2 linked regions of the Oryzias latipes genome follow. The protein of the gene in region 1 binds, or shares a complex with, the protein of each later gene. Links are inferred from orthologs where the notes say so. Each region holds a gene or a part of one and is shown in the gene's direction. Other genes may lie near its edges.

Evidence for each region.
Region 2: pold2 (region 1) and pold3 share a complex: the UniProt entries of both Homo sapiens proteins name them as parts of the both the DNA polymerase delta and DNA polymerase zeta complex. The link is inferred for Oryzias latipes from reciprocal best matches to the Homo sapiens genes POLD2 and POLD3.

What each region holds. Positions count from the first base shown.
Region 1 is NC_019867.2:18,717,032-18,720,854, reverse strand, and holds part of pold2 (DNA polymerase delta subunit 2), read left to right. Parts: intron 1-1,244; coding exon 1,245-1,402; intron 1,403-3,823. UniProt on the Homo sapiens protein: Accessory component of both the DNA polymerase delta complex and the DNA polymerase zeta complex.
Region 2 is NC_019875.2:1,861,819-1,866,095, reverse strand, and holds the start of pold3 (DNA polymerase delta subunit 3), read left to right. Parts: upstream 1-1,284; 5' UTR 1,285-1,383; coding exon 1,384-1,440; intron 1,441-1,850; coding exon 1,851-1,906; intron 1,907-2,397; coding exon 2,398-2,497; intron 2,498-2,581; coding exon 2,582-2,621; intron 2,622-2,780; coding exon 2,781-2,913; intron 2,914-3,000; coding exon 3,001-3,250; intron 3,251-4,179; coding exon 4,180-4,252; intron 4,253-4,277. UniProt on the Homo sapiens protein: Accessory component of both the DNA polymerase delta complex and the DNA polymerase zeta complex.

The sequences.
Region 1 (3,823 bases):
AAAGTGTCAGGAGTGTTGTGTGACAGAAGAGTGCCAGCAAGACTCAAAGGAAAGGTGTACAAGACAGTGGTGAGACCAGCTCTGCTCTATGGGTTAGAGACGGTAGCAGTGAGACAGAGACAAGAGGCTGAGATGGAGGTAGCAGAGATGAAGATGTTGAGGTTCTCCTTAGGAGTGACCAGGTTAGACAGGATAAGGAACGAGTACATCAGAGGGACGGCTCACGTTGCCTGTGTTAGCGACAAAGTCAGAGAAGCCAGACTGAGATGGTTTGGACATGTTCAGAGGAGGGATAGTGGATATATTGGTAGAAGGATGTTGGAGATGGAGCTGCCTGGCCGGAGGGCAAGAGGACGGCCAAAGAGGAGATATATGGATGTCTTAACAGAGGACATGAAGTTGGCTAACGTTAGGGTAGAAGATGTTCATGATAGAGTGAGGTGGAAAAGGATGATTCGCTGTGGCGACCCCTGATGGGAAAAGCCGAAAGAGAAAGATCTTAATTTCTTTTATCTGTTACAAAGTGTCTCCTTTACCAACAATCACGTCATCTGCTTTGGTCACATCCTTTTTTTTTTTTACTTTATGAAACGGTATTATTTCCTGAAAACAGAGATATTTTGCCAGTCACTGAAACAATTTATTTAAACAATTTTTAGACAGCAATAATAAAACTAAATAAAGTCAACTTTATTTAGAAAGTGCTTAACAACGCTGGGTAAAAACAAAACAACAAACAAAAACAAACAGCATAAAATCAATAAATTAAACAAAAATAAATAAAACCCAATAAAAACCAATAAAGATCTAACTTAAACAGTCGGGAGTCCAAGACCTGATTCTTCAGGCAGCCAACAGTTTCCGGTGAAAATATTTTTATTGATCCCCTCATGTTGTTTCCTAGTTTTTAAATAACTGAACCAAGATGAGTGTGGAACCTCTCTAACAGCAAAGATCCATTATTTTATCAAGTAGAAATTAATAATCCATTGTAACAAATCTCTTTCTTTAAAAAGAAAAAAGGAAAAGTCTGTCCAAAAAGGATATATCTCCATCTAGTGGTTTGATAAAGGAATTACAAACAAACTCAATATTGCAGTTTATTTTGTTTATCAGCGTCTGGAGGACATAGTAAAGCACAGACAGAGCAGATGGGTGTTTTGGGAGACATTTATAAAAAAAACGGACTTTTGAATGTTTTGTGTAGTAATTGCTCACTGGTATTGCCTCTTTTGTTTTTTAAGGCTTCTGTTCCAGTAGATGTAATGCCGGGCCAGTATGATCCAACCAACTACACTCTCCCACAGCAACCTCTTCACCCATGTATGTTCCCCTTATCTTCTGCATACAACACCCTGCAGCTGGTCTCTAATCCATTTGAAGCCAGCATTGATGGAGTGAGGTACGCAGCATCATCATTCACACGATTTTTGTCATCAAGCGTCTTGATGCGTCGGGTTAAGCGTCTTGCTTAACCTGAAATGATCTTGCAGGCGTGTGGAAATTTAGACTCTAGGTTTTACCGAGTACCAGAGCAAATGGCCTAAAGCAGCATCAACCGCTTTATTGTCAGACAAGATTTTCATAGACTGGCCTTTAGGCTGTGATGGACATAAAAACTATTATTTTCTATTTTTAATACTCTGGGTTTGCAACTTTATCAACAATGACTTCCTAACTTGATAAAGGTTGGTAAATGCATATGTTGCTGAGCCTGCTTGTATGGGAGCGACCTATGAATCCATATTTTAAGTAGAGACTTCAATGCAGATTGTTTATTTTTTGAAGTTTCTTCCTCTGTGGCTCTTTTCTGCCTAAATAAATTTTCCAAATATGTTTTTTTGTTGTTGACTTTGCTAGCTTGGGGTTTTCATTTTGGCAGTGATGTACTAAGTGTCACGGATGTGATCAGCGTCTTTGAGAAGGTAGTGGCTGCAGGTAAGACACGTGACCAGGGCGAACCCTTTGACTGAGGGACAGACAGTTTTGGCAGAAAGTTTTCCAAAATAAAACTCAGTTTTGAATCAAATTGCAAGCCATGTATGCTTTTTTGTGAGGCCCGGTACCAATTACTCAGATCCTTCAACGATCAGAGTTTGTACCCTGACCTTAAGAACAAACTGTTAAAGTCCTACTCTGATCATCTTTTGATCTATTTTAAAATCAGTGGTCTTTAAGTATGATTATGCCGTTTTTAGAGGGGGGAAAAACAAGACTTTCTAAGACATCATTTCTGCAGAGCGCCAGGAGTTCATTAGAAATTTGGTTGTGAGTGAGACTGCTGGCACGGTGCCACGGTCCCCACTCTTCCCGTCATCGCTTTGTTTACATTCTGTCCCGCTAGCTTACAGCCCCTCACAACCCCATCCTAACATTAGCAGCGAAACAAAATGGCTTTTTTCAACAGCATTTTTGTCTGCTCCTGATTCACAACAAATTGAAGTAAGAAATATTAAAAAAAAAATCAGAATTTGATCTCAACTTTATTCATATGTGTCCTCCACCATCAGAAAATTACCACAAGAACATTTTTAAAACACCAAAAGCAGGATTTTTATTGGAGTGGGTCTTTAGTTGCTGATTCTGGCCTGGGTTCTTTTTTGGAGCATTATGGGAAAACCTCATGGATCCTCCACATTAAGTCAACAACAGAGGCCTTCATTCAGAAGCTTCCCATCTGCTGTGACAAAGTTATAACGACCGCCAAGCCAATGACTCTGAAGGATTTCAGAAAATAAGTTGGTACAAATGTTCATGCTCACCTTTGGAGACTAGGAAAGTATTTTTGAATCGAGTTGAATATCTGCAGTGGTTCAAACCAAAACACGGAAATCTTTATGAAGCAAATTGCAGTGTTTGCAAAGGTCCTTCAGATTTCTCTCTTGTTTCGACTAAAATCTGAATAATCAAGTCAGTGGTTGTGTCTTTTTCTCAGACGTTTGGTCAATGTCACTAAGTGGTTCCTCATTCATGTATTCACTTACATTGGAGACATTTTCCTCATAGTGAAAACTGTGAGGAAACGGTATTTAACTCCTGAAGTGGCTGCAAGTTTTATTGATATTTTTAAGCAAACTCCTGCTCAGATTTTACCTGCACCTTGTGATTTTATTGTTGGTCATTTTAATAACAGATTCCATAGATGCAGTGGCTTCATTCAAAACAAAAACATTAAGAGCCACTCCTAAAATCCCATGGAAGACTGATGACATTAAGCGTCTGAAGCAGAATTGCAGGAGGGCAGAGAGGAAATACAGGAAGACGAAATTGATAATTCATCAAGACATTTTAAAAGAACAACTCAAAATCTACAATAACTCAGTTAAACGGGCCAGAAGCTCTTATTTTTCAAAAATCATTTCAGAAAATAAAAACAACCCTAAATTTCTTTTTAAAACCATTGATGTTTTAAAAAATAAAGACTTCAACAAGTCCTCCATGCCATCATCTAATGCTGCATGTGAGGACTTCGCAGACCACTTCATGGGTAAAATCAATGCTATAAGATCAAACATTTCATCCATGCAGTACACTGATCTTAACAGACTAGCATTGTTTTTACCAGAAAAACACTGGGGAGTTTTGTCCTGGTTGATGCGGATATGCTTGGTCGAGTTGTATCCCAAGTAAACACTACAACCTGCCTTTTAGATCCCATTCCCACTTCACTTTTTAAAACATTTTATGGATTCTTTGAGTCAGAGCTTTTAAATATAGTAAACTGCTCTCTTCAGACGGGGGTCTTCCCCTCTGCCTGTAAGACGGCGGTGGTGAGGCCCCTTCTGAAGAAGAGTCAATTAGATCCAAAAAATCTGGATAACTA
Region 2 (4,277 bases), on another chromosome or scaffold:
GCCCACCACCCAGCCGGAGCCCCGTCTCAGCAAGCCAGCCCCTGCACCCGACCCAAGCAACCCAGAGATCACCGCGCACCCACAACTCCAACCCCGCCCCCCCACCCCCCCACTGCTCTACCCTCTACAACCCTCCTCACCCGCCATATTATCCGACCCCTCCTCCCAAAACCCCCCCTAATGCCCTCCCCACTCTGCAATGGGGAGGGCCCCAGAGGATCCCGGTGAGCCATGCACTCTCCCACACTTGCTCACAATCTCCTGGATGTCCCCCACCCTCCGTCGCCACGCAGTAACCCCTTCTGGTCCGATCGACCCCCAAGCTCGCACGCCCGACCACCACTGCAGCCGACAGGATCCCCACAAGCCTGGCCGCCCTGAGAGGACCAGGCGGGTGAAGGCCGGCCGCCCCTCCCAGACCCCACCGATGTATGGTGGGTGTGTGTGCTGCAGGCAAAATAGGAGGTCTCCAGTGTGGAGGGCCCCACTGCTGCCAAGCAGTAGAGCCCCCCCACTCCGGGGTCCCTCTGTGATTGGTGTGTGCTTGCTTTGTGTGTGCTGCTAACATTCAGTGTGCAGTGTGTGTGTCTAAAATGCTAAATGAATCATCATTTTTTTAGGCCTCTACACGCTTAAAACAATGTCTTCTGTTGTTGCTGCAGCTGTGATTGTCAGGATTCCTTTCAGAATTTTGTTCAATCAATCGTTTTCGGTGACCAAACATATGTGAAAGAATAATCAAAACATTTATACAATTCTATTATTCAGATTTGAAATCCTGATTGGGTGATTGGGATTGAGATTTTTGCAGTTAAAAAAAAGCGTTAGGGTTCATTATCTCTCTCCAACATCAGCAGGAGAAAGATCGGCCCTCATACCCACTTCACTTTGAGCGCCGTTGCGCTCAGTTGTCTTTACGCCCTTTCACTTTATGGCAGAGATGAAACGCTATACTTGTTTGTCAATAGAAAATTACAGAGCCCTTGACATGATATTATATATATATATATATATATATATATATATATATATATATATATATATATATATATATATATATATATATATATATATATATATATATATATATATATATATATTGTTCCCTCAAATAAAAAAGTTGTGGCCACAGCTTAGTGTTTTGTGTGCACAAATTGGTGTTTCGTGACAATAAATTAACATTTCATTAGCATTTTGCGCTCAATCAGTTCAAGTCAAAGTGAACTACACGCGGTAATACCTCTCCCAACCGCTAGAGGGCAGCCGCGCCATCCATGACAACGGAAGCAGGTGCATGAACGTGACACCAGAAAGGAAGTAAATAAAGCGCCTTCCCGCGCAGTCAAATTAGATCAGGAACACCTTTACACTGAAACAAAGAAAATGGATGAGTTGTACTTGGATAATATTGACGAATTTGTGAACGATCACAACAAAATAGTAAGTACAATGTCAGATTGGGTTTTTGTTGCTGTGATGTTTGTAGTTTAGCTTCCCACAAGCCTCGAAGTGCCGAATTGTTTACCTTGTTTTTAAAAACACTCATCATGCGTTGAATTATATTTGCTTTATCTAGAAAGAAGACGAGCTCTGTTTTCTACTCCAACTCATGTATTTGTTGAGGTTATTAATAATTCAGCCATTGAAATGTAGTTTTACTAAACTGCAGAAAAAAATGCTTCTACAGTTGATTAGATTGTCGGTTTCTTAGTTTGAAAAAAACTTTGACTAAAAGAGGCTGATAATTAATATGTTTTATGTTTGTCATCGTATATAAAGCCCAGAATGTTTGTGTAAAGAATTAGTGTGACAGGATCAACCTGATTGATAATCACTGATCTGTTTTCCAGGTTACCTATAAATCGTTGAGTCTGACACTTGGAGTCCATGTAAACACAGCAAAGCAGTAAGTGACCCAGCTTCACTTCGAGTGGTTATTACATTCAGATTTAATCTAAATTAAAATAAAAAGGAAAAGAAGAACGGAGTGTTTTTTAAAGACTCTTAAAATGGTCTCTGTAAAAGTAAATGACCTTCAGTCCAAGTCAAACAAAGCTGCTAAACATTATATGTCCAATTTTAGTATATTTTTAAAATGTTACTATCACCTGCCTAAGAATTTGCATTTTCTTTAAGATTGAATAGAATTGAATAAAACTTTATTGATCCCACAAAGGGGAAATTACCTTTTTACCATGACTCTGTTAAAGGAAATAAAAACTAAAATTACTCTTTAAAAAAGGTGTTGTGTAAACAGATTTAAAGAGAAAAGGTTTAACTTCTTTCTATAAAAACAACAAAGCAGAAATAGATTTTTTAAAATATAATTATTTATGACCTGAAAAAGAAAACATTCGTTTTAATCCTAATAAAATGTGTAAATTGCTAACTTTGCAGAATGCTTTATCATTACTTGGAGCACAAGAGGAAGGAGAGCTCACCTCAGCTGCATGCAACCTACCTGGTAACCGGGAAGTTTGTTGACAACGGTCAAACTGTGAGTAACTGGGACAGCTTCTGTCCAGGACGCTTTGACAGCTCTGTCTGATTCAATTCATGTTTGAAATGTCCTCCTTTCCAGTGTCACAAAGTGTCGATTGTGAGAGAAGATCAGTTGGAAGGTGTGTTGATGCTTTCCGTAGCGCCGTCAAACTGAAGTTTCTTTTCATGATCATTTTTACGAAACGGCAAAGAAAATAACATTTTTGGAGTCCAAATTTTCATTAATGCTTGTTTTTCTGGCACAGTTGGGCTAAAATACTTGATGCTTTCTTTTGCAGATTTCAAATCAAAGATGAGCCTGATAGTCAGCGTTCATGTCTACAGCGTACAGAAAGCTCTGCTGAAAGACAGCGGACCCCTTTACTCCGTCGACTATGACGCCGTGAAAGACCATCTAAAGAACTGCAGCAAGTACGAAGGATTTTGGTGATGCGTGGACAGAAAGCTGCAGATCTAGCAGGTGGTGACCGCTGCCTTCCTCTCTTCCTGCTCCTGCAGGTACAGCGCCATTCAGTGTTCCGGCGCCGTGCCCGTGTCTTCCCTGGAGCGGCAGCAGGCGTTGAAAGCACACAACCCTCCTCAGTCTGAGCCTGGAAACTCTGGGACCAACAGAGAAACCAACCCCGCTTCCAAGGCCCACCCCAGACCGCCAAAAGGCATCATGGGAATGTTTTCAAAGAAATCTGCAGTGAAGAGTCAGAATACAAGCGAAGAAGTCAAACCTGAGCAGAAAGATGAGCCAGCAGTGGTAGGCTGCTGCAGCTTCTTCTTCTTATTCTGCCCCGCAGCAAAAATGTCCCCCCCCACCTAAACTCTCCAAAATAAAATTCTCCCAAAACTCGCTGAAAATACGTTTTGGACGCGGTGAACGACCCACATTTAAAAAAAATCACAACAGGAGAAACTGTCAAAGAAATGAATCAGACCCAAATGTCTTAAAGGGCTGAAAACGTTATATTTCAAAATCATCTAACAAAACCAAGACACACGTATCGGGGAGATCCAGAGAAAGTTTAGAAATGATTATGGGATGGCCATAGGACCTACAGCTTGTTTTGTGGCTATGTGTGAATTTTTGACATTTTTGCACAATAAAGGAAAAAAAACTTTAGTTCGAGCAGTTTTCCCCAACAAAATTTCACATCCAGGCCACCGTCTGAAGTCTATAACCCCAACCAAAGTTTAGTCGAACTTTGACCTCGATAAGAGCCCGCCATCTTGGATTTAAAACCCCTCTCCCATTTGTGGCGGCTACAAACAGGGATTTTGTTGTGTTGAGCATCACCTGAAAGCTGCTAACGGCGTCCGCTTGGCGACTTCACAAAAGGGTTGTTCCTCCGTTTCTCACACATTCTTTACCAGAATATTGGGAAAATTCAATATATGACTCGTTGGCTCAAGCAAACTAACCATATAAATACATGAACATATGAGGAATGTGGGCGCGGATAACAGCCTAGTAAATCCAAAAATGGACTTTTGCTGATTCTTGTAAAACTTCATGGAGCTGTTTGCCTAAATGGGTGCTATGGATATAAAACTAACAGAAAAGCCTCCATTTTACGGGAGGACAAAAGTGTTTTTTGTTTTATTTATCATGAATTTGTGCCATGCTTTATTTAGTGTGTTCCTGTTTTCTGTGTTGCTTCTGGCACCTATGATTATTGTGTTTTGTAGGTGGATACTGCTAAAAACAAGCCAGCTGCAAAAGCCAATCCAATGATGAACTTCTTTGGGAGTCAAACAGCAAGTCAGTTCCATCATCAATACAGTTT